6 linked regions of the Sus scrofa genome follow. The protein of the gene in region 1 interacts with the protein of each later gene in a pairwise test. Links are inferred from orthologs where the notes say so. Each region holds a gene or a part of one and is shown in the gene's direction. Other genes may lie near its edges.

Evidence for each region.
Region 2: the proteins of HSD17B14 (region 1) and CA8 interact in binary tests that used the Homo sapiens proteins (3 or more experiments, as listed by UniProt). The two-hybrid records come from large-scale screens. The link is inferred for Sus scrofa from reciprocal best matches to the Homo sapiens genes HSD17B14 and CA8.
Region 3: the proteins of HSD17B14 (region 1) and MPG interact in binary tests that used the Homo sapiens proteins (3 or more experiments, as listed by UniProt). The two-hybrid records come from large-scale screens. The link is inferred for Sus scrofa from reciprocal best matches to the Homo sapiens genes HSD17B14 and MPG.
Region 4: the proteins of HSD17B14 (region 1) and SNAPC3 interact in binary tests that used the Homo sapiens proteins (3 or more experiments, as listed by UniProt). The two-hybrid records come from large-scale screens. The link is inferred for Sus scrofa from reciprocal best matches to the Homo sapiens genes HSD17B14 and SNAPC3.
Region 5: the proteins of HSD17B14 (region 1) and NEK6 interact in binary tests that used the Homo sapiens proteins (3 or more experiments, as listed by UniProt). The two-hybrid records come from large-scale screens. The link is inferred for Sus scrofa from reciprocal best matches to the Homo sapiens genes HSD17B14 and NEK6.
Region 6: the proteins of HSD17B14 (region 1) and SREK1IP1 interact in binary tests that used the Homo sapiens proteins (3 or more experiments, as listed by UniProt). The two-hybrid records come from large-scale screens. The link is inferred for Sus scrofa from reciprocal best matches to the Homo sapiens genes HSD17B14 and SREK1IP1.

Annotation. Positions count from the first base shown.
Region 1 is NC_010448.4:54,141,344-54,145,523, reverse strand, and holds the start of HSD17B14 (17-beta-hydroxysteroid dehydrogenase 14), read left to right. Parts: upstream 1-1,380; 5' UTR 1,381-1,553; intron 1,554-1,913; 5' UTR 1,914-1,991; coding exon 1,992-2,079; intron 2,080-2,602; coding exon 2,603-2,641; intron 2,642-2,834; coding exon 2,835-2,917; intron 2,918-3,454; coding exon 3,455-3,536; intron 3,537-4,180. UniProt on the Homo sapiens protein: Catalyzes the NAD(+)-dependent oxidation of L-fucose, yielding L-fucono-1,5-lactone, which rapidly converts spontaneously to L-fucone-1,4-lactone. Can also act on D-arabinose and L-galactose, with lower catalytic efficiency. Does not use NADPH.
Region 2 is NC_010446.5:73,117,367-73,120,866, forward strand, and holds part of CA8 (carbonic anhydrase-related protein), read left to right. Parts: intron 1-2,993; coding exon 2,994-3,128; 3' UTR 3,129-3,162; intron 3,163-3,500. UniProt on the Homo sapiens protein: Does not have a carbonic anhydrase catalytic activity.
Region 3 is NC_010445.4:41,542,745-41,545,339, reverse strand, and holds part of MPG (DNA-3-methyladenine glycosylase), read left to right. Parts: intron 1-1,835; coding exon 1,836-1,931; intron 1,932-2,041; coding exon 2,042-2,246; intron 2,247-2,595. UniProt on the Homo sapiens protein: Hydrolysis of the deoxyribose N-glycosidic bond to excise 3-methyladenine, and 7-methylguanine from the damaged DNA polymer formed by alkylation lesions.
Region 4 is NC_010443.5:207,231,921-207,235,420, reverse strand, and holds part of SNAPC3 (snRNA-activating protein complex subunit 3), read left to right. Parts: intron 1-518; coding exon 519-623; intron 624-2,424; coding exon 2,425-2,574; intron 2,575-3,500.
Region 5 is NC_010443.5:265,133,907-265,137,406, forward strand, and holds part of NEK6 (serine/threonine-protein kinase Nek6), read left to right. Parts: intron 1-616; coding exon 617-757; intron 758-1,682; coding exon 1,683-1,745; intron 1,746-3,500. UniProt on the Homo sapiens protein: Protein kinase which plays an important role in mitotic cell cycle progression. Required for chromosome segregation at metaphase-anaphase transition, robust mitotic spindle formation and cytokinesis.
Region 6 is NC_010458.4:43,343,453-43,347,592, reverse strand, and holds the start of SREK1IP1 (protein SREK1IP1), read left to right. Parts: upstream 1-1,340; 5' UTR 1,341-1,517; coding exon 1,518-1,530; intron 1,531-4,140. Other genes in the region: peptidyl-prolyl cis-trans isomerase CWC27 homolog, read right to left, coding at 853-894. UniProt on the Homo sapiens protein: Possible splicing regulator involved in the control of cellular survival.

The DNA of each region.
Region 1 (4,180 bases):
CAACAACAACAACAAAAAGACAAAAGACAAAAAAGACAAAAAAAAAAAAAAAAAGACATTTGCCATGTTTGGGGGGGGGCAATTTTCTCTCTTCGCTAAGCTCCTTCACTTCATCCTCAAAATGAGGACGTGAGGGCTTCCTGGGGGAGGAATTCTAATGCTCCAATTCCTTTGCAGCCTGCCCTGGGACACTCAGGAGCCAGAAATGGCTCAGAAGCTCTGGGTCCTGGAGCAGGTAAGGAATTGGAGATCCAAACTAGAAGCAAGAAAGTCAACAAAAGGGTGAGGAGTAGCATTAAGTATTAATGTCTCCTGAGTACTCTTGAGTACCAGGGTATGGATGGCAGAACATTTCAGAGACGCTTGAATTCCTGGGGAATGAGAAAGCCCTAGTTCACAGCGGTTCCACCGTTGCTGTCAAACTCTGCTCCTCTGTCGGGAAGTTTTCGGGCAATTGGACTACAGATCCCATAATGCACGCAGACTTAAAAAGAGGGTCTCGCCCTGTTCAAAATCCTTTAGAGCCATATGCTAGGGACTACAACTCCCAGAAGGACACGCTCTGCACCGTGGTCCTCACCTTACAGGCAAATTATTCAAGGCCACCCCTGCATCTTCTTTTTTCTAGTCCGAGGAACACGACCCCTTATTTACCAACATCTGAGGGTCACCGGGAGCGAGTTCTCAGCCTCTCTCAAGCCTTGGCTGCTGAGGCGTCACAGTGGCACCGAATGATGACAGGTGAGAATGGGCTGGGGACCTTGGGCTCCTGGGTGTTAGGGAAGAGGGAGTCTGGAGGCCCGGAATCCTAGGTCCTGGTGGGGAGGGGGGTCCGACGACCGCCAGAAACCCTCTGCCTTGGTAAAGAAAGAGCTGGACAGGGCTTGGGGGTTCCAGACCCCAGTAGGAGGGGACTGGATCCCAGGACTGCCGTGTCTGGGGAGGAGAGGACGGGGAGCCTGGACTCCTAGGTTTGAGAGGAAAGTCCTGGGTGTCGGGACTTCTGGGTCCCAAAGTTTGCCATTCTCGTTCTCCGTCCGTCCTCTCCAGGTGGCAGTTTGGACTCTCGAGGAGACCCTCTTCCCCCTGCGTCGCCACCTCCGTCAGATCCCACGCCCTGCGTGTCCTCGCCCCCAAGATCTCCTCCAGTGGCCAGTTCCCACTCCACGGGGTTCTCCCACCGAGGGACTGGGCGCGACGCAGGCCCGGCCTCTTGGGAGCCGACCTGGGATTCCGGGACCGCCCCTCCCGCGCTAACCCCAGACGAGGAGGCGTGGCCTCTGAGAGTCACGCTGCTACAGTCCAGCTTCTGACCCGCCCAAGCAGGGCAGCCAATCAGAGCTGGAGGGCGTGTCCCGGAGGTACTTCCGGGACAGATGGAGCCTCTTCCCTCACCTGAGGGCGTGATCTGGTCCCCTCCCGGTGGCCGAGGAGTGGCTACTTTGGCCAAAGTTTGATTTTCCCAATACTTGTCCAAATTTGGATTAAAACATTGAACTCTTAGTCGATAACTTTCTGTCTGTTTGGAGTTGTGACACCGGTGTCTCGAAGAGGTAGAGCTGGAGTGGTGAACTCCTGGGTCCCGCGGGAGGAGGGGACAGCGGACTCAGCTTTGTGTGTCAGAGGAACGGGGGGAGCTCGAGGTCTGGATTACTGAGTCTGAGGGAGGAGGGGGCCGGCGACCTGGATTCCTGGGTCTGAAGGAAGAGAGGACCCGGGACCTGGACTTTGGAGTCCAAGGTCCGGCAGAGGGGGCCGGACTCCAGGAATCCCGAGTTTGAGGGTTGGGGGACCGGCCTCCTGGGTCTGAGGGAGGAGGGGGCTGGGGCCAAGTTCCAGGCTTCTGGCTTTCCTGGCAACGCCCCCGGGGCCGGGCTTCAGGATCCAGCCCCTATTTATGGTTCGACCCCAAGACCTCACCGGACTTCAGAGGGGGATAGAAGCCTCGAGTGAGTGTGAGTGAGTGGCCGAAGGAGACCTTCTGACGCGGGATGGCAACGGGAACGCGCTATGCCGGGAAGGTGGTAATCGTGACGGGGGGCGGGCGCGGCATCGGAGCTGGGATCGTCCGAGCCTTCGGTGAGTGGGGTCTGGTCGGCTCTGAACAGTGGAGTCTGGGAGCGGAGGGACCCGGGGGCTAATGGGTGTGGGACGAAGTATCTTCTGTACTGGAATCTAGATTCTTGTCTCGTAAAATCCAATTTGCAAAGTTAACGAAGGGAAGGCAGAGGTGGCCTGGGGCCTGAGATTGCGGCGGATTTTCAAATGCCATTGACTCCCTTTCTCTGGGTCTCAGCTATTGCTACAGAATGGGGGGCCGGGGGTGGTGGTTGAAGGAATATGTCTTTTGGAGGTTTAGGGTTTACTCTAGAACCCAGGGATGGAGACTCAGGAGCCCCAGAAGTCACCTGGAATAGCCAAGGAGAAGGCTAGGCTTCTGCCTTTTGCCCTACGGGATCATCATGAGACTTTGGGGTCACGAGGGGAACAGAGCTGGGGCGGTGGTGGGGGGGGAACGGCCCTGTTCCGGGTGGCCACAGAGGGCAGCAGAGATCTTCACCAAGGTCTCTGCAGGGCTAACCTATTCCCTGTCTATTCGCAGTGGAAAGTGGCGCCCAGGTGGTGATCTGTGACAAAGACGGTGAGTGAGGGTCCCCCAGTCCTCAGCCCACTGCCTCCTCCCTTAGATTCAAGAAGAATACAGGCCCCAGCACCCTCCTCCCTCAGACCCAGGATCCAGCCCCAGCCCTCCTCCCTCAGACCCAGGATCCTGGGCCCCCAGCCCCTCCTCTCTGAGACCCAGGCTCCAGCCCCCAGCCCTTCTCTTCCTGCAGAGTCCACTGGTCGGACCCTGGAGCAGGAGCTGCCTGGGTCTGTCTTTGTCCTCTGTGACGTGACTCAAGAGGATGATGTGAAGGTGAGCGCGTAGTTTCTGTCCCTCCCCGTCCCCCTCAATCTCCAATCGTTCTCTCTCTCCCTTCACCCCGGGCTTTGCACATGCTATTCCCTCTACCCTTCCCCATCTCCTGGCTAAATGACACCTGCCCCCAGAGTCTCAGCTCAGTTTCATCGCAAAGCTTTCCTAACTCGGCTGGCCACGTCCTGTGTCTGCCGAGAAGATTCTCCTCTATCTCCCAGGCCTTCAAGGCCCCTGGTCCCTCCTGTCACATGATCTGGATCCAGTAAGAGTTCTCCTTCTCCCAGGGTTTCTCCCCTTCCCTTCATCTGCTCCCCCATCCCCCACCCTCCTGGGTCTCTGGAGTAGTGAGCTCAGGGTGTGTGTCACCAGCCCTCTGGTCTCTGGCACCCTGGCGTCCAGTCTCCTCATCTCCTGCCATGCCTGGCGATTTGGGGTCGGCCCCCACAATGTCCTGTCCCCTCCGCGGTGACTCCGCTTCTGCCACGTCTCACTTGGGGGAGCCCAGCAGGGGCGCCAATGCTGTTCACTCACAAGACAGCTTTCTCCTCAGACCCTCTTTCTGAGACCATCCGCCGCTTCGGCCGCCTGGACTGTGTGGTCAACAACGCCGGCTCCCGTGAGTTGTCAACCCGCTTCCCGGGCTCTGTCCCATTGCTGCTCTGTGTCCCCAGGCCTGTGCCGCCACCTCTTTATGCCTCAGTTTCTACATTTCTAAAATGACAATGACCACCACTGTCCTTGCCATTACAGGGTGTTGAGAGTATTAAATAGTGTAACTGGGCGGAGTTCCCGTCATGGTGCAGAGGAAATGAACCTGACTAGGAACCATGAGGTTGCGGGTTCAGTCCCTGGCCTTGCTCAGTGGGTTAAGGATCTGGCTGTGAGCTGTGGTGCAGATACGGCTCGGATCCCGTATTGCTGTGGCTGTGATGTAGGCCAGAGGCTGTAGCTCCGATTCGACCCCTAGCCTGGGAACCTCCATATGCCACGAGTGCGGCCCTAAAAAAAAAAAAAATTGTGTCACTGCTCAGCCCCCTAATCACCCTAACTGTCTTGGGCAGACAGCGTCCATCTTGCAGCCTCCGTTTTGGTTTGGTTTGGTTTGGTTTTGGCCATGGCATGCAGAAGTTCCAGGGTCAGGGATTGAATCTGCGCCACAGCAGCAATAATGCCAGGTCCTTAGTCTGCTGAGCCACCAGGGAACTCCAACCTCAGTTTCTTTAAAGTGAGGCGGATGGCTCTTTTTTTCTGTGACTGTGA
Region 2 (3,500 bases), on another chromosome or scaffold:
ATTCAGTATTTCCACACATCTCAGTTCAGACCAGCCTCATTTCAAAATGCCTGTGGCCACACGGGGCTGGCTGGTGGCTACTATATTGGGCAGTGTAACTCTAGGGTTTTTCTCTCTCTCCTGGAAGACACTCTCTATTCCTTTCTTAACAGTGTGTTCTTTGGGAGTTCCCTGGTAGCTCAGCAGGTTCAGGATCTGGCATTGTCACAGCTGTGGCTCGAATCACTGCTCTGCCACGTGAACTTTTGCATGCTGGCCTGGGAACTTCTGCATGCTGTAGGTGGTGCAGCCAAAAAAAAAAAAAAAAAAAAAAAGGAAGGAAGGAAGAAAGAAAATGCATTGTTCTTAAGGGTCTCGTAAAAAGATTTTTGTGTATTTCTTCTGTGTCTTGCATGATATCAAGCACTTGCCATGAGGTCACAGGCTCCATTGTCTCTTGTTCTGGAGTTAGTTTCCTTCTGTGTGGCTCCTGAGTAACCATCCTAATGATGGGAAGACAGCGACAGAGACCAGGGCTGGGAATTGGGGAAAGAGGAAAGTTTACATCACTCTTCTTGGGGAAAGAATGTTCTTTTCTCTAAGACCTTGCTCCAAAAAAAAAAAAAAAAAATTTAGATCTAATTAAGGAGTGATCATTGACAGAATGAGGCTTTGGTTTAGGGATGGGAGGTCAGGAAGAGAGAGCAATGCTGTTAGAAAGAAAGATAATGCGATAGGAGAAAATGAAACAAAAATAGCAAGGCTGCAGTCCATGAAAAGTGGAGAGATGTACGCATGTACATACAATCCCCTTAATATATATACATATATAGACTGTTTTAAGTGCAGTTTGCCTTCTTCCTTCATTGCTACCATGAGGAATTATATTCCTTTAATTCATGTACAATCATTGGCTGGTGATAAAAGAAAAGAAGATGAGGACTCCAAACTTTCATGTGTTATTTTGCTCTTTCAACATGAGAACACATGAGATGGGTCTATAAGTAGATGTGTATGGGACCTCAGGAACTGCTAAAAAAAAATGAGTGCTGAACCTCAGACCCTGGTACTTAGCCCTTTAAAGGCAGTCATGAAGAAAGCCATTTGAATGCTGAACTTTGGACAGTCTGGTTCTTGTATCAGTGAGAGCTGGAATCAACGTCTTAGAGCAGCTGGAGCGCCGTCCGGGTTCGGGGAACAGTGGCTGCTTAGTTCTGCTACCTTCACAAGAGGAGGATTTGTCTCGGAAGAGTCGGGTCTCTGTCCTCCCATCACTCTTTTAAATTGGCTGAAAACAAATACCGTGTGTAAGTAGAGTAGCATTAAAAGTCGATGAAACCATACGTCCTCCCGTCTGTGATAACGATAGTCTCTATGGCCCTGACATTTGAATTTGGCTGAGGACTTTTATCCTAGAATATTATTCTGTTCATTTCTCATCATCTCTCATTTCAGCGTGGGCCAGCGAGGGGCACGCTTGAAACCATTTGAAGTGACTAAAGGGTTCAGGGGGGGTGACTTCAGAAAAATTGGCATTTCTGAGAGATGTGTTTTTCCCTCAATCTCTGTTGATGTTTGAAGTCTTCAAAGCATTGCTCTGATCAGAGAAAAACATTTCTTGTGAAATAGTTCTCTCCAAGAAGGCAGTGATTTGAGACTGGCTGGCTGTTGATTCAGATCTTCTCTTTGAGAAGCAGTTGTTTTCACAGAATGTGCTTTAGGGTGAGTCCTGGGGCTTGAAAGATTTATCTTCAGTTCAGAATACGTAAATATAAAGTTAACCTAGCTTTAAAATAAGCTTCAAAGTCAATAAAAAAAAGTAGAAGTGTTTCTTGAACTATGTTGAGGCTGTGAAGTTTCTAGTCCCCAGTGCTGATCAGCGACCCTGTCTGTGATTTATAGATCCTGGCTGTAAACTGCAGCTCTTACATGATTTCATGTTACGGGAACAGGAGGAGAGGGGACCTTTTGTTTTCTCAGTCAACTGTTTTATTATTTTCAGTCTACTTTTTGCATATAAAATTGTAGCTGGATAATTATCTCAAAGTGCTGAAGGTTTGAGTTCAAAAGAAGTTGTATGATTATTTATTTATTTATTTATTTATTTTGTCTTTTTTGCCATTTCTTGGGCTGCTGCTGCGGCATATGGAGGTTCCCAGGCTAGGGGTCTAATAGGAGCTGTACACCACCAGCCTACGCCAGAGTCACAGCAACACGGGATCCAAGCTGAGTCTGCAACCTACACCACAGCTCACGGCAATGCCAGATCGTTAACCCACTGAGTAAGGCCAGGGATCGAACCTGCAACCTCATGGTTCCTAGTCGGATTCGTTAACCACTGCTCCACGACGGGAACTCCTGTATGATTATTTATTGAGCATCTCCCAAGTACTTGGCATGAGGCGGAGTGATTTTCATGAATGATCTCATTTGCTTCTTACACCAGCTCTGAGAAGACTCTCATCCTCATCTCCATTATACACAGGTGGAAACTGAGCTGAAAAAGGTGGAGTGGTTTGGTGGTTTGGGTCTTAGGACAAGAATCAGCCTCTGGATGCAGTCTTACTGCCTTTACTTTCATCGTCTTCTTTTTGAAAAAGCATAGACTCCTCTAACAAAGCAGCCTCCTTCCAGTCCTGTCTGAGGGAAGATCAAGAAAAATGCATCCCACGGATAATCACAGGGAATTCTCCTGGAGTCTTGACTCCAGATGTTTTCCTGATGCAACAAACAAATGGCCTCGCTCAGTGGGTTAAGGATCCGGTGTTGCCGCAAGCTGTGGCATAGGTCACAGATGAGGTTTGGGTCTGGCATTGCTATGGCTGTGGCATAGGCTGGCAGCTGTAGCTCTGATTCGATCCCTAGCATGGGAATTTCCATATGCTGTAGGTGTGGCCCTAAAAGAAAAAAAAATTCTTGTTATGTGTGCATATTTTAAGTCACTTGGGAAAGCCCAATCTTGTTCATGCCTTACTAATAAATGATTAATTTATTTTGTTTGCTTGCATTTTCAGATTGAAGAATTTCGAAGGCTGAGAACACACGTGAAGGGGGCAGAGCTTGTGGAAGGCTGTGATGGGATTTTGGGAGACAACTTTAGACCCACTCAGCCACTCAGCGACAGAGTCATTAGAGCTGCATTTCAATAGCCAACGACAGTGGACCCGGTGTGTCTCCATCCGGGTATGTGTGGATTAAGTAAGGAAAATGAGGCACACGGCTAAGCTTGTCACACCAAAGCCACACTGATGATCCTAATAACTTAGCAATATGAGGACCACACTTCATTATTTTATTTTATTTATTTTATTTTATTTTATTCTTGTTTGAAGGCTTCACACGAGACATATGGAGGTTCCCAGGCGAGGGGTCAAATTGGAGCTGTAGCTGCCAGCCTTTGCCACAGCTACAGCAACGAGGGATCCGAGCCCAGTCTGCAACCTGCACCACAGCTCACGGCAATGCCAGATCCTTAACCCACCCAGTGAGGCCAGGGGTCGAACCTGCATCCTCATGGATCC
Region 3 (2,595 bases), on another chromosome or scaffold:
GCTTTTGCCCGCCTTGTGCCCTGACACAGGGCCCCTACTGGAGCTGCCCAGCATCAGGACGGTCGAGACCGCCTCCTCCCCACAGCAGCTGGCAGTGCCAGGGCTAGCTCCCCAGCATGGAGCAGGGAGCAGGATTGCCTGGGGCCTGTGGGGGTGGAGCCTGTCACCACGCAATGTGTACCGTGAAGGTGCCCTAGCAGCAGCACTGTGGCCACATCCCTCGGAGCACCATCTGGCTAGCCCTGGCTTCCTGGTCTCCTGGAGGTTCCAAGGCACCCCTCTTCTGTTCTTTTTTTTCTCTCTTTTGTTGTCTTTTGAGGGCTGTACCCGCAGCATAGGGAGGTTCCTAGGCGAGGGGTCAAACCGGAGCTGCAGCCACTGGCCTACACCACAGCCACTGCAACACCAGATCTGAGCCGCCTGTGACTTAGGCCACAGCTCACGGCAACGCTGGATCCTTAACCCACTGAGCGAGGCCAGGGATCAAACCTGCATCCTCACGCATGCATACTAGTCAGATTCATTTCTGCTGTGCCACCACGGGAGCTCCTCCTCTGTGACCTTTAGGTCCAAAGGACCAAGGAGAGTCGGTTTCTGTGGCTAATGGGAGATTGGTGCCAGGAACAGATCCTAAGGTGTGACGTAGTCAAGAAGGGACCGGAGTGTGTTCCCAGAAGGATGCTCTCAGCTGCAAGCCCGGGAGGTCCTTCTCCAGCGCCTTAAGGAGGGTTCAGGGACTCACCTGAAACGGCTCGTGGCGGGTTAGAAACAGCGAGGGTAGGAGGAGGTAGAGACGGGAGCAGTGAGATCCCAGGCAGGGTTATCGGCCAGCAGAGTGGCGGGGAGCACTGGGCAGTGAACCCAGGCTTCCCGCAGCTTCGGGAGCAGCTTGTTAAAGGAAAAGGGGTGGTTTCTCTTTTTAGCACGTTCTGCTTTTAGCACAGGGCGGTTCACGATGGAGTAAGAAACAGGGCAGATACAAGCGACGGTGTTACAGTTTAGCTGTTCCTCCAGCCTTTCTTGTCTTGCCGCTTTTTCATTTTGTACAGTTAGCACCTAAGGTGGTAGGCGGGGACTGCAACAGGTCACCAGCCCAAGGGCCTCTGTGTCCCCCCTTAGGCTCCCACACTTGCTTGAGCAACAAGGGGTGGACAGGGCAGTGCCCGGCAGAGAAGGCAGCGTCTCACCCCGTGTGCCCCTTTGTTTGGAGGGGGCTTTCTCAGGGCCCCCAGGGAATGTCCTCGCAGCCCCCTTGACTGGGCTTGAGTCATGCCCTTGTCCTCAAGCAGATCATGGCAGGCAGCAGCCAGCGACAACCAGACCACTCTGGTGTCCCCTCTGGTCTGAGAAGGTGCTCCCTCTCTGGGCCCGCCACCAGCAAGGGGACATCTGGGGGCGGGGCAACCAGAACACCCGCCCTCCGGAAAGGACCTCGGTGACATTCGGGACAGGAAGCAAGATGGCAAGGACAGGGCCTGGGAGGCACAGGGACGCGGGGAGGAGTGGCCCCTCTGACCAGGGCTCTGAGGTGGCCTGGCCCAGCCCAGCGTGTGAATGCCCACAAGCCTTCTGGGCCTTCCTCCACCCGGCCTGCACCACCCCCCGTGCTGGGGGGCTGTGTGGCGAAGGGGGGCAGAGGGGTTCCGGGTGTGGAGGCTTCGACTCCCAGTGCAGGGGCTCTCCGCAGGCCCTGCCCGGCTCCCCTGCTCTGCTGGCCCGGGCGCCCAGCCCTCCAGGGACAGCCCCTGGCCACTGAGCTCTGCCCTGTGCTGGGCTGGCCCCTCTCCCCTCCCAGGTGCTCCCCAGCCCACCCCTCATGGAGCTCCCTCTGCCAGGGCCGGGGGCCGGGCGGGGTGCCACGGGCCGTGTCCTCTGCAGTCAGGCCGGGTGATGAAGCCCAGGAAGGCCGCACCCTGCGGACCAGACATTCGGTGAGCAGGACCTGCCGTCCAGCAGGGCCGAGGGGACAGTGTGGGGGACCTGGGGGGCGAGCCGGGCTGTGGACAGCATGGAACGGGCCTTTCCTTACTGCCCCATGCAGGTCTTGGTGCGACACCTGGGGGACGGCACCGAGCTCCGTGGGCGCATCGTGGAGACGGAGGCGTACCTGGGGCCGGAGGACCAGGCTGCCCACTCGAGGGGGGGCCGGCAGACACCTCGCAACCGCGGCATGTTCATGAGGCCGGGCACCCTGTATGTGTACCTCATCTACGGCATGTACTTCTGCATGAACGTCTCCAGCCGGGGTGAGCGCAGCTGGGCGGGGGCTGGCAGGGGCACAGGGAGCACCCTCGCTGGGCCAGGCTGGGGCTCCCGGGGAACAGGGGTCACGGGGGGCGTGAGCACGGAGCCAGAGGGTCCCACGAGCCCACCGCCTGCCCAGTGCGGCCTCAGAGGGGCCGATGCCGGGGGACGCCGGGGCGAGATCACTCGGGGTGAGCTGGGCTGGGGCAGGAGCCTTGCCAGGGGGCCGGTTACAGGTCCTGCCCCCCTGGGGAATGGGAGCCCATGCCCGCAGCCATCTTTGGCCATCCCAGCTCTGGGCACACTCCACCCTGGGTGGAGGCCAGAGCGGCCGATGCAGAGAATCAGGGG
Region 4 (3,500 bases), on another chromosome or scaffold:
GTGATGCTGTGACATATTAAAGATATGACGGTATAGTTAAAAATCAAGGGTTTTAGAGTCAAACAGATCTATATTTACATTCTGACTCTCTGATTTTCCTTGAGTAAATTGGTCAACCTGAGCTTCATCTGTCAAATAGCTGTCATGGCAATACAAGAGGAGGTATGTAAGAGTGTCAGTAACTTGTAAATGCCAATGTTGTACCGACATTAGGTGATAATCCTATTTTGTCATCAGTTGCTGAGCAGTTAGTGCCAGACATCTTAATAGATGCTTTATGTATACATTTCCAACAACCGTTCTGTAAAATAAGTATTTTCTGGTTTTTTGTTTGTTTATTTGTTTACAGATGGTGAAACCAAAGTTTAGAGAGGTTTTAACGGTCTTCCTGAAGTAAAATTAGGAATCAGACCTAGGGCTCACTCAGGCTTTTGCTTATAGCCATTGTTCTATACTGCCTCTGAGCTGGGTCACAGTGGCTGATTTTAAGGTCTCTGTTAATTTGCTTCCTTCTTCAGGAATCACATGCCATGGGGAAAAAGCCTGAAAATCCAGCAGACATGATTGAAGAAGGAGAACTTATCCTATCTGTGAATATCTTGTACCCTGTTATATTTCATAAGGTCAGTGGTAAAGCCTTTTGGACTTCACATATTATGATTGTCTTTTGTCAGAGTTGAATTATTTGAAGTTGAATTATTTGACCTTAGGGTTCAAAATAAATGCAGGCATATGCTGTCTTATCTGACATTCTGTCTGTATTCTTGGGTTCTTTGTTTTATAAGGAATATCGTAAATAAGGTTAAATTTCAAGTGATCTCTTGAGTAGTAGGATTAGAGTATTGGAATATAATATACCTGATTTCTATACTAGTAGCAACTGAAAGTATACAAATCCATAGTGATTCTGATTATATGAATTCATGAGGGTTTTTGGCAGAAAAACTGGCAAAGAAGGGGGGTATTTTTTGTTCACTAGTTCAGAATTCTTGGGAGTTATTGAACTAAGGTCAGCTCTTCTTAGATGAAATTGCAGAAAGTTAACAGGTCAGGGGTATCCAGGAATTTCTTAGGGGCCTCTAATAAAAAGAACTCTATCCCCAGCCCAGAGTGTATATATTCTTGATTCCTCAAATAGATGTATCATAAACTTTGATAAGGTTTAATTGAAATTTGCTGCACGTAAATTGTACTTATGGTTAAATAGGCTTTTATGAATCATCTGGGATATAGTTAGTACTAATTATGTTGTTTGATTATGATGTCAAATTATTAAAGAAAACAAAGGAAAACTAAACCTCTGGGTTTATAACATGAAGGTAGTGTATACATTGCTTGACCTCTAGAGGTAACTTCCAGGAGAATTATGTTCAATTATAATTTATTAAATTTATAATTTAATTATATATAACTATATTCCAAAGGCTTTTTTTTGCTGACATCACTTTAGTAGCATATTGGTTTTAAACTGTAGCTTAAACTAAAAAAGTTTTATTGCTGGGCATATTAGTCCATTCTGGCTGCTATAACAAAATAGCATGGACTAGGTGCCTTATAAACAACAGAAATTTGTTTCTCACAGTTCTGGAGACTGTAAATCTAAGATCAGAGTGGCAGCATGGTCCAGTGAGAGTCCGCTTCCAAGTCACAGACTTCTTTTTTACTAAAGCACCCTCCTGTTCATGAGGATTCTACCCTGATGACCTAATCGGTCTCAAAGGCCCTACCTGCTAACACCATCACATTGAGCCTTCAGATTCCAGCATGTGAATTTTGGGCAAACATAAGCAGTCAGACTATAGCACCAAGTGTCTCAATTGTACTCCTGGGATTTTAATTTATAGAGATTACTGATGCTAGCACTAGAGGCCACTGCCATTGAAAGAAGATTTTTATTATTTGCACTTCCTCAGGGGAGGAGGTATGCTATGCCATTGCGGGCCACAGGAGAAGCACTAGTATCAGTCTGGAAACAGAAAAGATAAAGGAAGAGACATAGGCCATTGCCCTTTGGGGGGTTTCAGCAGGAATATCAAAGCAGGGCAGAGTAAACAGTTTAGGATTGGCTGGCTTGAACAATTCCACTGGGCTCTGGGGTATAGTGCTGTCCCTAGTTGTCTGGTACCGGGCTCCAATTGATTCAGGACAGAGAAAATACTGGCTTGGTATACTAGAGTTAGAGAAAGGAGATAGTTTACAGTGGGGCTCTGAATTACAGAGGAGATGGTAAACAACTTTGGTGATTAGTTTGGCCCTAAAATTGATAGATGCTGAGTAGACTAATGGCAGAATGTAAGAAAACGCAGGACACCATGTTATGGAAATAATTTACATTAAAAAAACTTAATTTAGATCTGGTCATGACAGATCTATAGTTTAGCTGCTTTGTCTCTAAGTGAACACTGATTTATTTACTGACTTTAGCACAAAGAACACAAACCATACCAGACGATACTGGTACTGGGCAGTCAGAAGCTCACGGAACTAAGAGATGCAATTTGCTGTGTTAGTGACCTCCAGATTGGTGGGGAATTCAGCAACACTCCTGATCAAGCACCTGAACACATCAGCAAAGTAAGGTGATTTTTTTTTTCTCTAACCCCCATAAAACAAAAGGAAATAATAATAAGCTAAGGAAATAGTGATTACTCTAGCAGACTCACAGACTTTCCAGTAAATGTTTTTTTCTTGTATGCCATTCAATCATGCCGATCTCTTTTCTTTATCATCAAGACCTTTTCAAAGATTGGTCTGTAGTTGGTTTTGATTTCTTCATCTCCCATTTATTTTGCAATCATTCTTCATATACTCTTCTTTTTAGGGTCATAGGACCACCTAATTGTCTAACCAATAGGTCTCTTTTCCACGTTCATACAACTTGACCTCACTATAGTATTGAACTTGACTCTTCACTCTCTTTTCTTGAAACCCCATATGAGTTTGTCTGTCATATAACTGCTCCCAGCAAAGGGTTTGGGGTCTTCCCCGAGAGCATCAGTGCCCATAGAACAAGCTGCCAGTCCAAGGACCAAAGCAAAGGGATATAGCATCTGATGTTGGTCCTTGCTGGTGTTTCCCAGGGTTTTGCTCTTAAAAGGGCAGAGAAACCCTATATTCCCATTGGATCAGGATGGAGAGGAGCAAAACTGTGGCTACTCACAGTTTTCAGAAGGGATTGCTCACCCAATAAAATAGTAGGGCCTTGATCCTTCCGAATTTCATCATAGACCAAGCTTGACCTAATTCTTTTACTTGGCACAACTCTGACGGAAGACCTCGGCTTTATTGACATGCTGAAGAGGTGCAGCATCTCCTGCAGAAGAAGATGTTTGGAACAACTAGAATGGAGATAGAGTTTGGACCAGAACCATCACAATCTCTTTTTTTTTTTTTTGCTCTTCCTTTTAACACCAGCCAGCCAAATAAATGTTGTTATAACTTAGGTTTCATCTTAGTTCTTATTCTAAATTCTTTTCCTGGGCTTCCCCCACCCCTAGCCC
Region 5 (3,500 bases), on another chromosome or scaffold:
TTTCATCGTGGCTGTCAGTGCTGGTCCCTAGTGGGTCATCATGAGGTCTCCGGATTCTTCCCATTGCCAGAAAGGGGACAGTTGATCCAAAGAATGGGCTCAGCGTGTAAGACTGCAAATTTAACTCTCCTTTTCTCATCTCTGAGGTGGGCATGGCCATCCCTGGAGGGGACGTGGCTGCTGCTTACGATGACGTGCAGGCTTAGGGCTGCGGTTGCACGTGGAGGCCACGGGGCCAGAGAAACCCCGCAGGGCCTCCCCTCCGCTGGGTGACTTGGGAGAGTCACCTCCTTAAATGTTTATTGCACCTGCTCTGCTAGCCAGACTCAGGAGTGAACAGGCAGGTGAGGCCCTGGCCCCATGGAGCTGCCTTCCGGGGATGGAGAAGGGAGCAGTGACCAGATGCTGAGGGCCGGTGACGAGTGCTGTGGCGGAAGCCCCATCTGCACAGTGGGGTCATTGGGACCCAGTGGAGCGGGTGCGGAGAGCGCCACGGGGGCGCTCTGAGAGTGGAGCTGGCGATGAGGGGCCTGGAGGGGGCGTTGCCCCCCCCCCGGGTCCCAGCCTTCCAGTCTGCCTGGCTCGTCACCAGTGCCCTCTTGTACCTCTCCTCCAGAGGCACCCGAATGCCCTGTCTTTTCGCTGCTCGCTGGCCGACTTCCAGATCGAGAAGAAGATCGGCCGAGGCCAGTTCAGCGAGGTGTACAAGGCCACCTGCCTGCTGGACAGGAAGACAGTGGCTCTGAAGAAGGTGCAGGTGAGCCCACCGCTCCGTGGGGGCAGAACCCCATTGGCAGCCGGCTCGTGTCTAAACACTGTACTTCTGGGCTCACCCTGTCCCTTCTCTGTCCTTCTGTCCCCCTCGCCCTCCCCGCCCCACTCTCTCCCGTTCCTCTGTAAGTGAGGGAAATTAGTACCCACTTCGCCCACTGGGCTCTGGGAGGATCAGGTGGAGTGAACCATAAAGGAGAAGAGCAGTGAGCATGCGCTGAGCACCTGCTGTATACTGGGTGGTGCCAGAGCTCCCCGAACCTTGACCGCAGTCTTCTAGGTAGGGATCACCATCCCATCCTTCAGAGGTGGTGGGTGACCCAGCAGGGCCCAAGGGAGCTAAGGGGAAGCCGAGACGCAGCTCTGCAGCCAGCTGGCCCTCTCTGGTCGGTTCTGGGCTTCTCTGGTGTTGGTTCTTAGTGCCAGGATGGGTTCTGTGGTGGGGCTGCTGCAGGGACCACCTCCTGTGTCTTAGCAGGTGCTGGGAGGACCCACGCGGAGTGAACACTAAAGGGGCTGGGGCGTCAGGGGCCGTGTACTGTACCCCCTCTTCCTACTCAGTCCACACAACCGCCCTATGAGCCCAGGCTGTTGGCCCTATTTACAGAGGTGAAGACTGAGGCTTCAAGCGTGTTTTCCTGCCTGCCACTTACCAGTGCATGACCTCAGCAAGTCACTGCACTTCTCTGGGGCCTCGCTCTCCTCCTCTGTAAGTTGGTGACCGTATCTCCTGCCTCATGGGAGGTACAGTGATGATTCGGTGAAAACCGCCCCTGGCAGGTAGTAAAAACTCAATAACCCAAATCATTGTCCTTATAGGGTTCCCTCAGCAAGGAGGTGGGAGAACCCGGACTGGGGGTGCTGGGTGCTAGGTTTTAACCACTCTTTCTCTGTTTTTTTTCTCCCCCAAGATATTTGAGATGATGGATGCCAAGGCCAGGCAGGACTGTGTCAAGGAGATCGGCCTCCTGAAGGTGAGTGGCCTGGGCCGAGTGGGAGCCCCTCACTTCCATGGGCCAGGCTGGGCCACCGCATGGCCATTACAGCCCTTAGCCCGTTAGGTAAAGAAATGACTTACTTTAGAGAGGCAGCAGCTTGTTCATTTTCTTGTGGCTGGGCGGGAACTCCCACCTTACTTCTGCCCAGTCCTCAGGGTGCCCCCAGGCTGGCTGTCCTTGTCCCACGTGCATCCTGGATGTGGATGGGAGAGCCTGGAATAGCCCTTGCCCTAAGGCAGCCAGATCACGTGGCTGCTGCAGGGGAGGCTGGGCGTTGGGTGGGACTGCAGGTTGCCTGTCTGTCTGTCTCCTTCTCTCTCTTTCTTTGCGCTCAGCCTCATTCTCTCGTACTCCCACGTGGCGGCACACACATGTGGCTATTCAGCCCCAGCGTGCTCTCTCCACCCCCATCCTCTTGCTCCCCCCCCAGGAGATGCTCTCTGCTGGGGAGACTCCCACAAAGCCTGCCTGGGGCGCTGGGCAGCATTGACAGCTAAGCCCGTGACCCCAGGTTCTGGGGGCTGGAGGGGTCCAGGATCCCGGTCCCTGAGTTGTCAGCCTTTTGGGCTCTCGCCGGGCCTCCCACAAGGAGGAGGCAGGGTGCACAGCTGGGGAGGGGTCTCCCCAAGGGGGTAGCTGATGCGCCCGCCCCTCTGCAGGCGGAAGTCCTTGGTTCAGCCAGGGCACGGCTGACGGACATGGTCCTGTGATGGTGGCGTCTGGGGCCCTTTTCCCCTCCCCTCTGGCTTCCCCGCTGGGGTCCTCAGCGTCAGAGATAACGGAACTTTCTGGATGAGACTGAGCCTGGGGCTGCTCTCCTGGCCATCGTCCCTCCTCCCCAGGCTTAGGATCCCGCCGGAGAACTAGTCGGTGACAGAGGAGGAAAATGCGTATGGGATTTGGAGGCCCCAGAGCCTGGGTTCAAACACCAGCATCCTCATTTACAGGCTGCGTGACCTTAAGCATATGCTTTAACCTCCCTGAGACTCAGTTTGCCTAGCGGCTCCATGGCGAGAATACCTGCCTCAAAAGATACAGGCAGATTGAGAAGATGAAATAAAATCGCATCTGAAGCGGGCCTGGCGCAGTAGGGCACACAGTAGGCGCTGACTTGGTGTCCTCCCCTCTTCCCACGAAACAGAGAGCTTGCTTGGTAGCTTCCTATAAAGGGGGGGCTGCTGGTGGCAGTCAGGCCTGGGCCTCTGCCTCGGGGACCCCCAGACAGAAGGGGAATAGACAGGGCAGCAGATGGTGACTGTCCACTGTGATGCCAACTGACCCGGGGACCCCAGGAAGACCCTTCAGAGGCCAGACCCCCGTCTCAGAATCCGGAAGACTGAGAGGAGCCTGCTGCAGGAACCCCGACAGTGTGGCTCGGGGACGGGTCATGGTGGCCTTGAATGCCACACTCAGGATTCAGAACTTGAACGTGGGAATTGGGGGTGAGGCTGAAGTGACCAAGAGCCAGGAGCTGGAGCCAAGGGGAAGCTGTGAGTGCTCACTGGGGTGGCCCCTGGCGGGGATGGGTCCCAGGGGCAAGGCTGGAGGCAAGAGGCTCTTAGAGAGGTGCCCACAACTCCAGCTATCACAGGTCCAAATATACCCTTCAAATCACAAATCACACTTTTTTTTTTTTTTGGCTGCACCCGTGGCAGGTGGAAGTTCCCAGGTCAGGGATCAAACCTGAGTGACAGCGCTGAGTCCTCAACCCAGTGAGCCACCAGAGAACTA
Region 6 (4,140 bases), on another chromosome or scaffold:
TTTACTTCATCTTAATACACTTACACACTTTCATTTTCACTATTTTTTCCATTATGCTGGTTCATCATATTTTGTGTCTGATAGAGACTAGGTCTCACTTCAAGAATTCAGGTGATACTTATTCCATTATTGACCCTGCTCATACTGCATATAAACACTGGATGGGAAATGACATTCTTGACCATCAAAATCAATCAGAAAATCATTCTTATATGGGAACATTTCCCATTAATAATCTGCTCACGTTTTAAGACCAGCTCCAAAAATACTTCTGCCATGAAGCTTTTCCCTAGTTTCCAGTTGCTAACTTCTCAGTACTACCATAGCAATAGGCTAGCTCCTCTCGCCATAGCCTTCCTATCAAACATATCATAAGGTTTTTCTTAACCAGCCTGCCTCTCAAACTAAACCATAAACCCCTCTTGGGCAACAACTAGCGCTTATCCATCCATTTTGGTATCCCCAGTACCTAGTACAGTGCCTGGTGCCTAGCAGACATTCAAAAAAAGGATTGTTGAACTAACAGAGAAAAAATCATCAACGAGATAACCAAAAAAAAAAAAAAAAAAAAAGTCAACTTTTAAAACACCTTGGCTTTTTACCTACGACCCTAGAAAACGCCTGCAGAGCTAAGTTAAAGCACAAATTAGGGCCAGAAGTTTAATAAAGAAATCGCCACCTGAAGACTTTTTCAATTATGTGCTGAGAAGTGCCAGTGTATGGTTCTCGATGCAATGCTATTCAGAGACAGAGGAAAGGACAAGGCTTCTTGTAATCTCTTCTAACCCTAGACCCCAGAATTGCCAGTGAAAGATAATTCTGGAGAGACCAGGTACCCTAGAGGAAGCTCACCTTCCCGTTCGTGGGAGGCTCCTGGATGTAAATGTTGCTCATGTTGGTCAGTGCTCAGGACGCTGTTCCTAATTGGGGATAAAAGCGAACGGTGAGTCACTAAAGCAGTCCACGTATCGGTACACGCTTCCTTAAATCTGGAGGTCGCGAAAAGCTCCAGTCTGTCAGTATCCCGCAAGGCAGCGGCACAGGTCCTATCTTTTTCTAAAGACAGCCGCTCCCGGACGCCGCCATGTTGCTCCCGGACCCGAGCACCGCTAATCCTGAGAAGGGGGCTTCCGATGGCCTCTAGGGAATCAATAAAATATTATTAAGCCTCCGTGGATTAATTTAACTTGTATTAAAATTTAAAAAATAAAAATTTGTAAGTCTTTGGGTTGTTTACTTTACTACACGCGTGTGTAGATCTCATTAACTACCCCTAAACTGGCAGTAATGGTTTGGACCGTGTGTGGTCTACAATACAATTCCTCCGGAAACTGCATCAGTAGCTTCTTGGTTCCTCTATCGCCGCAGGCTTTTAGGGCCTTACCCGACTGTCATCTGGCTACCGCGACGCGAGTAGAAGGAAGCGGCGGCCGTCATTGTACGTTGTCCCCGCAGCCAGCGGTAAGCGAGCGCGCTCTCGAAAGCCTAGGGGTCCTGCAACCCCAATTCCCCGCGCCATGGCAGTTCCAGGTAAAGACCAAACGTAGAGCCCCTGGGTCTGGGCGAGGGAGGGAGCTGGTAGGGTAGGTAGATTGGGGGGCGCTGGCATAAGTAGTAGCGCCTTAGGGCGGAGGCGTTAAAATTAACATTGTCGTTTGGCTTACTTGGAGAAGTTTACAGTCCAAAAATAAACTCTAAAGGAAAGAAAGAAAGAAAGGAATTGTTTCCCCGCCCCAGCCTAGCACTGGATGGACTACGGGGAACTGTATACAGGGCGGAGCGGGGGAAGGGGTGCGCGGGGAGGCGGGTGGAGACGGACTAGTTAGTAACTGTAGGCCTAGGAAGCTGTTAGCCGAGAAAAACTGACTTTAACTTTAATAAGGCTTGAAAATAAAATTTGAGGAGGCAACACTTGGCGGATCCAAGTAGGCATTGTTTGTTGTGAAAGTCGCTGGGCCGAAATGGGTCTCTGCGGTTCTACTTCTTTCTTCCTGTTTTTTGTAGTTGCGTTGTGGCCCTGGACCCGATGCTTTGCCTTTCCGGGTCTCAGTTTTTGTATCAGTAAAAGGAGATTTGTTGATATATGTATATGGGTCCTTACAGTTCTCAGATTCCATGACCAGGGGGTGTCAACCGAAAAACAATGAACCCTGTGAAATAAGTGCTTCAGAGTTTTCCCGTTCACAACTACTAGCTTACTTGGAAGTTCTGGTAGCGGAGGGCATCTCTTTAAACCTACTTTGCCAAGGTGGGTTCTGCAGAGCACTGGTTGCAGGAGATACTTTGAAAAATAAACGCTATCCCCACCCCCACCCCCACCCACCCACCGCTCATACAACTTGGAGATTCATGATGCACTGTAGTATAGCAAAGACATTGAGAATTGCTATGGTTCAGAAACTCTAACTTTGTTGTAACCTGCCCTTCCCAGTATTATTGGACCATGTTTATTCTGTGGAGGCCTGTGCTGAACTGTATTTTACTGTATGGGGAAGTTGTGAAGTTCTACCAACTTAAGTTTTGGTTGGGGGGGCGGGGGGTTGCAGTATTTTAGGAGAGGAAAGGTACATACATTCATACACATAATAACTTTTATTAAAGCTGTATTGTGTGGTAGGATACTAGGCACCAGGAACACAGCTGCCCTTCACACAGAGCTTACAGTCGAGCAGTGAGAAGAAAGTACTAGAAAGTTAGACAAACGCATTGCAGTGAAAACACAAAGCCCTGAGGAGCATGTAATAAGGGCACCTAACAGGAGACTGGAGGGACCAGAAGAACTTTGCCAAGGATGAGGCATTTAGGATGAGACCTGAAGAATTGTGGGAGGGGAACTTGTACCCAGAGGGACTGAATATGTAAAGGAAGAAGAAATGTGTGAGAAGAGGAAATGAAATGAAAGATGTGCCCTGTGGATGGAACTCAGAATACAAATGGGAGAGAATTGAGAAATTAACTAGAGAGATAACAACAGTAGCCAATATTTACCAAGCATTTACTGTGTGTCAGATTTGTCAAACACTGTGTCAAGCCTTGTATTTGATCTCATGAAACATTCACGCCCACACTGTTAGGTAGACAATATTTCTTCCATTCCACTGGCAGGATACTGAAGGACATAGAAATCAAGTAACTTGATTGAGATAGCTAGTAAGGGCAGGTCAGTCTGGCTCCTCTAGACCTTGTGTGCTTATCCATTTTGCCATGTTCTTGTTTAATTTACAAGGCAATTCTTAAGGATGTTTTAAGCCCTAACAAGGAACTTGGATGTTTTCCTAAGGACCATAGAAAGCTATTTAAGAATTTTTAAACACACATTTTGGAAAGAGCATTCTGGCTGCACACTAGATTGGATGAGAGCTAGTTTGGAGGCAGAGTCACCAGTTAGCAATAACTCTGGTAAGTTATGATGATTGATGCCTCAGGAATGGTCTCAGTAGAAAAGGAGAAAAGCAAATAGATTAGAGATGTGTTTCTGGTGATAGAATCACTGGGAATCAGTGATTGATTCACCATAGGTGGTAAGATTTGAAATGGACCTGGGTTTCACTGTTAGGTGGTTGGGTGGGTCCATTCACTAATATAAGCAACACCTGAGAAGGAACAGTTTTTAAGGGGATGATGAATTTAGTTGGGGATTATGTCACCATGTAGACTTGGAATGGCAATGTCTAATAGTAAGAGATAGGAATGGAGATATCCAGTAGGCAGTAGAGAGATACAATGTGTAGCTTAGGAAGAAAGCCAGAGCTGAAGACATTAATTTGTTGTCATCCACATATGTGATAGGAGGTAAGGTCATGGAAATGAAAGCCTTTGCTCAGGTGGAATGCATAGAGTGTGAAGGGAAGGTCTGTGATTGGAGCCTGGAGAATATCAACATGTAATGGGCCAGCAGATAAAGTCCAGCCTGCACAATAGATTTTACCTAGGTATCATGATGGGCCAAGTTAGCCCCAGTGATCCCACAGCTCCATCCAAAGGTGTCCTGCTGTTGCTGTTGCTTTCATCATTAGACCAAGTGTTTTGAGCACCCACATAGTATAGGCACGCTGGGGGACACAATGCCACAGCCTTGGATCCTCATAAAACTTAAGTCTAGTAATGAAAATGGAATGTGCTTCTTAAGAAAGAGGACAA